Drosophila melanogaster: one gene and its partner. The protein of the gene in region 1 interacts with the protein of each later gene in a biochemical or structural test. Each region holds a gene or a part of one and is shown on either strand. Other genes may lie near its edges. The genes, in order: Sema2a and PlexB.

Region 1 (4,994 bases):
GTGTGAATCTATTAGTTAGTTTCTATTTTTCCTTCCTTTTTTTATGACTACAGAAACAATTCAACCTTTGGCTACCTGCCGGTCAAAAAATGAGTCAATAATCAGGGGTTTGGCCTTAATAATGAAGTCGCAGCACCTTGTGCGTGTATCTTTGTATCTTTTGTGAGAGAAAACAAAGGGGAAGAGCTATCCGGCAGATAAAAATAGAATTTTAGGGTACAGAGTGGTGGAAACATCTGTCAAACCGCTGAGTCAACCAATTGAAGTGGCCGAGGTGGCGACAGAGGACGTTGCGGCCGCATTGGTACTCACAAATGCCATAGAGAGGCATAAATTTTGTACTACCCTAAAATAAAGTGCAATTAATTTCATTTAAATCAATGAAAATAGTGCTTTTTCATTTACAGACGGGTAAAAGAAGAAGAAGATAAAAAAAAACATGCAATAAATATTCCGCATCAACGGGGGAATTTATAGTTGACATTTTAGAGTTTTGTTGTTATTCAGTTCGGTGGCTTTTGTGGTTTAGTTGGTTTTACCTTAATTTATGGCCCGCCGATCGGTTTATATAGTGCATCTGGTGCAAATGTCCAACCTTCGAACTTTGTAGCTCCTTCTGCATGCATTTCGGACTTATCCCATATAGATTTTGCTATATAACTCCCGGAAAAGTATGCGCAAGCAGCTTGAACGATTCCCTAATCGTCTCACGTTTTCCTTTAGGGCAAGTGCTTAGCTATTGAGTTTACAGCGCAACATGCGGCAAGGACCAAAAAGTTGTTGTCGGCACGTGAAGTTTTATGCTGCACTTATGGCTTATAGTTAAAGATATAGTGGAGACAAGGGGGACGGCATGCCAGGCATTCCGGAACGTGGACTATTAGAAAATGTTTACTGGTCTTGACCCGGATTGCTGTTGTTGTTGTTGTTGTTTGGCCAGCCTGGCTAAATGAGATTTAAATTTTTTATACAACATTTTCTGCGTTCTTGATACTTGATGGCTTTTTGCTGTTCTCTAGCCACATTCAATGTATGCTGGGGAACTTTTCAATCAACCGCACGATGATAAATGAATGCTGGCCAAAATTATTGGCAAAATCCAACATGGCTTAGACATAGAGAAGTGAATAACCTGTTTGTGGCCGCTCGTAGATGAATTTTAAATACTTTTAGGCTTTAATGACTCAATAAAGCTGGCCAAGTCTACGAAACAGAGGGCTTGTAAAAAAATACAGCGGAAAATCTAGGTAGATTGAACATTTAAATGGTAAAGCATTCACATTTTTCTAGAGTGGTAGGGGAGGGGGGGATTAAGGGAACCCAGTCAATTATATATCATTCAGGATTTATCTCTGTGGATTATAGGACTGCATATGGTTAAAATATGATTACATTATTGGTATTTGTTTAAACATGAAATATGCATATGAATAGCAACAATTCACAATTGCGCGGACCAGCAATATTCACTATGAATGCACCGCATTAATATGCAAATTATAAAAAACAACAACAATCACAATGCTCCGAGCCAGAAATGGAAAATGGCCCAAACCGAAACGAAAAAATATAGTTGCAATTGAAATCGAACCAAACGAGATAAATAATAAAGGCACAAAGAACATGTGCGAATATTATGGCAAATAAATTACAAATTTGTTGTTGCCTGAAAGATTGAAAAATAATATTGGCCGCAGTTAAAAAAGGGGAAAAAGCTGTCTTATTCGTGTAAGCCGACGATTTAAGTACCCTGTACAAAATATAAGTAATGCGAAACAATTTTAATTCATTTTTTTCATACATACTTAAGTTATGATCAAGTTGTAAAATAGCGTTTTAAATAATGTTTTCATTCTTAAGTTTTAAGTGTAACGAACATTAACATACATTTCACATAGTTTTTACGAAGAAATGTGAACTAGTAAAAGATTTTGTTAACATTTTTTTTAATTTTTAAAGCCCCTCGAAAAAAGGGCACAAAAAGTGAAAATTTATTTTACAAGTGTGTTTTAATCCGTGTTCCCGCCCCTTTTTATACCGTTAGTTGGCTAGTTACCTGCGCCGTGTTTCCCGTAATTGTTGTTCCCCTGATCGTTTCCAGTGCAACAGGGACGCTCGTAGTAGAAGTTCCAGGTGTTCTCGTAGTCCGCAGCTGTCTCGCTCACACTACTGCAGAGGAGTAGCAGGAGTGCGAGGAGCGGCGATAGCTGTAGAAGCGACATTGCGAGGGCGGTGCGAGCGAGAGGGGTGGTCGACCGGGGGCCGAATGCGACCCCACCAACCTCAATTGGATTAAAGTGCAAGAGCGAGCGAGAGGCGGTTGCTTGTTGATTTTACCGTTTGATGAATAAAAACCGGCACGTTTTTTCCCACGAATAACTGTTAACACATTTAACTTGTATTATTTTTACACACTTTTGCGGCAATTGCAATGGAATTGATTTCACTGGCAAATGGATTTTAAAATAAACTTCTTTCCTTGGGCGATTTATAGCACCCCTCTGCTATTTTTTTCTCCTTATATATATATGTTTTTTTTTTGGACCCGCAGTCGTAGTGCCAATTTCGTTTCGGATTAATTATGTATGCGTTGCAGGCGCATAAAGGCGTAATGCATTTTACACAGTTCTGTGTTCAATTCGGTTTTCAATTCGATTTCAACGCATTTAGCCATCGGAAAGCATGTGCGATATGAAGATAAAGGCAAAAGGAAACGTTAAACTGGTTTATTATATGCCCACGCATCGGAAAAACAAAAAAAAAAGCAACAATATTGGGAAACAATGAAAATTCCTCAACGCTGGAGAGTGGGAAAGAGACAAGGAAGGTGAACGAGCGCGTTTCTTAAAGTTTATACTATTTACAAGGCACTGCATCAATAAATAAATGATGAATCTGCAAATATTTCCTTGCTTTCAGTTTAAAATTTGCCTTTAACCCACACGCACACAAACTTGCTCACGCACTCACACACACACACATACGCAACAACAAAGCCAGAGATACACACTTGAGTTGTTGTTGGGAGTTTCGGTTTATTGGAATTTCGAAAATCGAACTCCGAATTGAATGAACTGCAAAACGCCAATTAGATAGTTGCAAGCCTAATGCATTTCAGATATTTTACCGATGCGAAACAAGTTCCGCCACGAAAGGGAACACTGGTAAAATGCCCAAGAATCTCGAGCGGAAACACCAAACACAAAAGAACAACCGACAACAAGTAGAAGTGAGAAAACAACAACAACGCACGATCGCTCCGATCGCGCAGATGTGAGAAAAACGCTAGCGCGTTTAAGTCGAATGACTATCGCAGTCACGCGTTTGGGTTTTTGGTATATACCAACAATGGTGATCGTGTTTGAAAATAATATTTAAAATATATATAATTTGCATAACTTTTTCTCTTTATATCAGAAGTTTTAGATTTTATTTTGGCTAACTTTGAAATATGCTTTCTTATTTTTGTCTGTTTACAATGCGCTTGCTTTTTAAGTTAGTTAATATATAATATAATATTTTCTTTGACGTATTCAAGCCGATTTTAACTATTTCTTAAATTATTCTTAAGAAAAGGTAAAAACTGTTGACACAAAACTTTGTTTAATATTCGTGGAGCGTCGTGGATTTTCATTTGTCGATATAATCCTTGCTCCTTGCCACAAAATGCCGTTGCAGAATGGCGGTATTCAATTTTCGTACTTCACCGTGCGGAAGCGGCAAAGTGATTTTTAGCAAGGACAACAAGGACAACGACAATTTTGGCAATAGGCAAACATTTGCCAACCCAGACACACACAAAACGGGCGGCAGGATGGATGGATGGATGGCAGGTATGCAGACGAATCCTTGCATTTAGCAGCCTCGAGCGGCAATTAAACGCAGTTTGCTAGTGTCTCTGGCATTTGAGTGTCTGCTTGGCAAAATATTTAATTAAAAAGCAAGTCGGTTATGTTTTCGCATCTCCTTGATATTTTCTATTGTACGGGTGCCACCTGTGCGTGCTTTCGTTTCCATCAGTGGCGTAGGGGCTGTAGTTTATTCAATTATTCAGCTGAGATGTTAATGATGATTGTTTGAGGCACTGATCAGCTCAGGTGGTACGTGACCATCAAAGAAAAAAAAGGTAAGAAACTTATAATATAGTGCAAACGTTTCCAACTAAAATTTAATAATTTTGATCGCAATCATTGGCTAACCCCCACAAGAAATCCTTGCGCACGCCACTGGTTGATTGTGTCTGCCTGGCCTTTTCTCTCTGTTTGCCTGCTAATGAGTTTTCGCAGAATCACCACACTAGTCGTCCCCCTCGCACCCGACCGTGCGACCAAAGGAGCACTTGCATCATGATACTGTTGAAAATTTTTGACACATGTTCACTCACTCTATCCCTCTATTTCATTGCCTCTCCCTCTCTCACACTCACTCTCGTTCTAGCCCGCATTGTTGTTGCCGCTTTGTAGTTGCTTTGATGTTGGTTGCCATTTTTGGGTTTTTTTCCCTTTTTCGGGGGATAGCCTTTCAAGTGCAGCAGCGACAACGTCGCCATTGTCATTTGTTTTCGCAAACGTTTCTTTCACACAATGTCAACTTTCAACAAAGGACTTTAATTAAGTCCTTAATGACAGCTTAATTTAGCGCACTTTGCACAGCGCGTATGCCCCAACACGTACACAAACAAAGGCACAACGCACTCACACGTAGCACATACTCGCACACGTATGTATGTGTGGGAAAAAGATGGGATGTGTTTTGTTTAGTTCTTTCGCTTTCTTCATCTCGGAATCCTTTAGTTGCGGTCAATTAAATAATAATTTCAAATCTAAAAAGTACACGTCATTCCATAAGAAGTCATGCAACAATTTAAGGGACGAAAAGAGAAATTCAAGTAAAATGAAATAGTTGCCAATCAACCACCCTTCATATAAACATAAAAACTAGCATTCGTTTTGCTTATTATTTTGTGATGCAATTTATTACTTAATAAATTGGGA
Region 2 (5,318 bases), on another chromosome or scaffold:
CGAGCGAACCAACTATTGGACATCTGCCATCATTAATGGTGCCGGATATATAGCCCAAATTTCGATCTTTTGTGGTTCCGTTAAAACACAGATGGATATTTTCAATGAACATGTCTTCAATATCTTTAATGCTATATATACACATAGCAGACTTACTTTCTGGCTGATTACTTATTTCTCTTGAGGGCGAAAAAACCGTTACTAAAACGTGATCGTCTTTTTTTATGCCCATTTTTTGCGCCAATTTGTGGCTGGCTGGAGTTACTTTCGCATCCCTTACAATATTGTAGTCAACATTGTTTTCAGTTGCAGTGCATTGAACAGTTATTTCAGTATAGCTGTCGTAATTAGGATCTGTAATGCAAATGCGTGCCAAGCGTGTTACATAACCGGCCTCATCAGCTAAATGTGATTTTTTTTGAACAATTATGAAGTACGCATATTCAGAAGAATTAAAGCCGTAAATATAATCGACTAGAAAATGATCCCGATATTTTACATCGATATTTATAATTGACTGCTGTATTGAAAATTCAGCATAGTTTAAATCATCAAGTCGGCGGGACGAAATGGCTGGCACGTCATGACGATAATCACCAACATTCGTAAATGTTGTCCCCACATATAAAATATCCTCTTCTTTCCACGCATATCTCGCCGGACCTACAAATGCATATGTAGACGCGTTTTCATCGTTAGCAGCCAATGGAACTGCAAAAAACTGGGGCGTTGCCGGAAAACGTGGCAGGCTGTAAATTTCGCAGGCTCCTGAAAATAAAGATAATTTTATTACTATCGCGGAATTTTTTAAAACCTATTTTAAGGACAAAATATAACACCTAAGTCATAGTATCCATTGGACTTGATATACCCGTAACTTGTAAAGTAAAAATGTATACTACATGTAGAACGGAACGTCACCGAGCCTATAAAATATCAAAAATCCTGATCTTGATCACTAACCGAGTCGATCTACTCATGTCCGTCTGCCTGTCCTTAGCCCACGATTTTCTCGCCGTGGCTCTAGAGGTTGCTCCAGGCTCTCTCGAATTTTTGTTCGAGAGCGAGAGAGCGGAGAGCGCTACAACGAACAGCTCTTTTCTACGCATACAGTGATACCAGACATCTGTGTGTGTGCACACGTGTGCTCATGCATTGTAAATTTGACAATATATGCCCTTCACCTTAGAAGTTCATAGACTTTAAATCTATATTATTTTTGATCAATTGGCACCATGCGAAAAATTCTTGTTTTGCATTGCCTTAACGTTATTATTATTTGAAAATAGATTAGAAAGAGTCAAACCTATGTACATATTATCACAAAAAAAAATTTCAAAAATGACTTTATAATATTATTATATTCATTAGAGTATTCAGCTTTCGACGTGTGAAAAATTAATAAGGCAATGATTGTTGAGTGCTTGTGTCCGCACTTCGTGCCTCAAGATACATATGACTTGCAATAAACAGTTTTCATATTTTTATTTATGTTAAAAATTTTTATTTTCTACTACGTATTATTTTTATGAAATTTTTTTAATTTTAATATGATGTATAAAATGATCCATTTTTATTATTTAAAATGCACATTAGATTCAGTTGTTTAGTTTCAGTTTTTTTTTTGTTATATTCCAATTTGATATTCCTAAAAAAGAGCGCAATTTCATCATATTGCTACGAAATTGGCCAAAACTTACCAAATATGTAAATTCGTTTATTCGATCAGAATTGATTTCAGGAACAGTAAAAATTGTTAACTGATTCGTTGAAAAGTATTTTAAAGACGATTCGCATCGCATGATTGAAGTAATATTATGCCCAAAACTGCCCGCCCATATTTTTGCAAACATTTTAGAATATTTTTTTTAATTTTATTAGTTGCTTAAACTTTTTGCCACGCCTACTCTAACTCCCTAAAGCCGCCAAACCGGTCACGCCCACACTATTGAACATTTTTCAAATTGTTTCTTCTTTTATTCCCCAATATCTATCGATATCCCAGAAAAATGATGAAATTTCGATTTCGAGTTCGCATTCACACTAGCTGAGTATCGGAGATCTTGACTATAGCATATTATCTTGTTTTATTTTAATACTTTAACGTTAATACTACCCAAATTGTTTCAAGAGTTCAACTATAGATTTTTTAATTTATAACATTTTAAAATCCTGTTTTGTTTATCATCATATTCCTTCCGCACTTTTGAATAATTACTTATATTCGCCGCTTTTTTATGTGGAGCTCAAAAACACTGCGACATTGTTCTACGATGACTACAAAAAATGACCAATAACTTCTATAAACCAATACGATATGTCAGGAGTTTCGGTCCCATACGAAGTCGCCGACTTAAGTATTTTATTTTTATTTTGATATGTGTTTGCTATTTTACCTTGTCGAATGCTTCCACACGCTATGAGAATACCATCGTGAGCGTAGCTTACTACTAGAATTTTGTTGAAGTTATTGACAAGCGATGTCTCAATATCTTCCGGACAGCCTCCAGCGTGACATTGCGGGGAATCATGTAACGGCCCAGTAACAGCCTCGGCCAGCACTCGAAGGTTTTCGTTAAGTTTAAGTATTTTATTTGTAGCACCCGCAAACAAAACATTGTGCATAAAGTCGAAGCTCATGTGAGTAAAATAATTTTTAGATTGAGAGTCTCTAACACTTTCTATATTGTTTCCAATTGATCGATTGCCATAGCTGGAAGCTGTTGATTGAACTGGTATTGATGGCAAGTTAAACTGGGCGACTATGTCATTTAAGGGAGATAACGCCTGAGCCGGCAGTTCTTCAATGCAGTTAACGCAATAATGCTGAGAACCGAGTATGATAATAATACACAGTACATGTAAAACATGTATAATGTTTGCACAATACAATTCCTTTCGCAACATATTTATTTGTGGTTTTGTGTATGATCAGTTTGTAGTTGAGTTTGGGCATCAATTCCCCATATGTCATTTTTATTATTATTTAGCTCTACATTCTCTCTCCTTAATATATAAACTTTTTAATATCGATTGAATTTAATGCGAATTAATTTTATATGCCGCTGATTCACTGTAGGTGCATAAATATTTTTAAATTAAAATGATCCATTTGGCTATTTTAGGTTTAGCGCATTTTTTATAAGGTTGTTTAACACAAAAAATCGATTAGTCAATGTAAACAAATATTTATTTAAAAAAAACTTCTTAGGCAACGCTCAAACGTTGTGTGTACACTATCAGTCCTAGAGCAGATTATTAGTATCGGCTGTATCAGCCTATCGCATACAAATTGAACTATCGAGCTAGAGGGCATTGTAATGCTGTATTCACAAGGAGCACATTAAAGGGAAGCTTACCATTAAAAACCTCGGAAGTATTTATGTAGATATCGTTTAAATGTTTTCAGTTCTGATTCCACATCCAATCAATTGGCTAATGTTAAAAGAAAAAAGAAAGAAGACACCACCGATGGAGTCTAAAATGTTCCAGGAACATTTTTGTAAAATAATATCAATGAAATGGTAGTCGCGTTAAAAAGAGCAATCTCCAAAGAATCTAAATTGATCTCATCTTCTTCCATGCAACACTTGCCGTGCGCGCTATTTTTATCTTAATATTGTTTTTGATTCGAGTGTTACAGACCCACCTATCTCTACACAAAGTTTTGAACAACATTGATTTATGTGGCACGATGGCTAAAATTTTATAAAATTATTTTAAAATCATAACATGTTTAATGTTAAATTATTTCATTAAGGGTTTCTCATGGCATGGAGGCTTCAACGCCACGTAGTGTTTGGGACTATTTATGTATATACTTATACTAATTTTACTTATGTACCTTTTTTACTATTAAAATTATATAAATTTAAAAAATTTGATTATTATTATTCAACAATTTTTGGAAAATTTGTCCAACGAATGGCTATTTTGCTAATCAATTGTCTTATTAATAATTTATTGAATTTCTCTACAACTGTAAATTAAGACCAACCGTCATTAAGACCTGTAAATTATTAACACTTAGTTAAATAAGTATCACTAAATAGATTATATCGGTGGGTTTTAAATTTTGACTGAATTGAAGATTCGATTTTTATATATTCTCAGAGAGATTTCTGATCCTGTCATACGTACATATGTATATACAATTTCATTTATTCTCCGAATATATAAGTTAAATTAGGGAACCACTACAGATATTGAAGTTTTATTTGTGGATTTTTTTCAACACTTAGCATTGGATATTGACCCCTATAAAAATGCTTCATCAATCCATTTGTGTAGTCACTTTGCAAGGGTGTACTTCGGTTAACCGACTATATTTCAAAGCGATAGTTAATGAAACTTATGCTGCTATCACATTATTTACTGTGAAAATTCTTTGTGAACTGAAGAGCAATCGGGAACATCGATCTTGACAACGCCGAATTCGTTTTGGTATAACACAGGATCTTTAGTTTATACTTGGTTGGCATCACATCGAAACTTAGCACGGGAAACCATGGTTAATCGACAATATTTGCGCTGTGCAACATGTACAAGTACATAAATAGAACTGTTTACACATAACAACAATGTATCAAAAATCCGTTAACAGCCGACGTGAACACTCGAAACATAACCAGACCTGCCGCAGAAAATGCTGCGATAAGAGATGCTAAAGAGATAAACCATCTCTTACCAAAAAGTTAGATTAGATTGACCAAAGAGGTTAATGTGTACACTTAAACTGTCTATAATCTTTACAACACATATAATGACAAACATGGATATTTTTCAACTCAATAAGAGAATAATTTATTAGGAATTTGGAATATCAAACGGCACAATGATACGCAGCTCTTACTTACTTACTTTTTATTAATTTTAATTTTCTTTTTACAAAAAAAAAAATGTATGCTTGGAGCAAATTATTAGGAATTATATAAGTATAATATTATTATTATAATAGTGTTATTCCCAGCTAAGAACAAATCGCTTGTCATCGGGAAAACGTTTTTGATTTTATAAATTAGTTTCCACCTTTCCAGTTTTGTTGGTTTGCACTCACAACTCACAATGACGCAAATGATTGCTTATTCTGTATTTTTTTATTCTAGTAGGAAAAAATCTACATTGGCAACGCTGCTGCCGTGAAGCTAAGAATGCAGTATTAAAAAGCGAAACAAAATAATATCAATAAAAAGGTTAATGGTAAACTTAGGAACTTCCAGCTCTTAAACCGCGCAAATATTTTCCTTTATGTGATAATTAAGCAAGGTCATGTAGAATCTATTGATAAATTTCTGATTACAAAAAAATATTTAAATATT

Evidence for each region.
Region 2: the proteins of Sema2a (region 1) and PlexB form a complex in vitro, tested with the Drosophila melanogaster proteins (one study listed by BioGRID).

The regions. Positions count from the first base shown.
Region 1 is NT_033778.4:16,514,404-16,519,397, reverse strand, and holds the start of Sema2a (semaphorin 2a), read right to left. Parts: upstream 3,249-4,994; 5' UTR 3,128-3,248; intron 2,945-3,127; exon of another isoform or gene 2,865-2,944; intron 2,479-2,864; exon of another isoform or gene 2,380-2,478; 5' UTR 2,223-2,379; coding exon 2,057-2,222; intron 1-2,056. UniProt on the Drosophila melanogaster protein: Ligand for transmembrane receptor PlexB. Plays a role in growth cone guidance. Required for both proper adult behavior and survival. Can function as a selective target-derived signal that inhibits the formation of specific synaptic terminal arbors.
Region 2 is NC_004353.4:40,518-45,835, forward strand, and holds the start of PlexB (plexin B), read right to left. Parts: upstream 3,262-5,318; 5' UTR 2,908-3,261; coding exon 2,397-2,907; exon of another isoform or gene 2,257-2,396; intron 769-2,256; coding exon 1-768.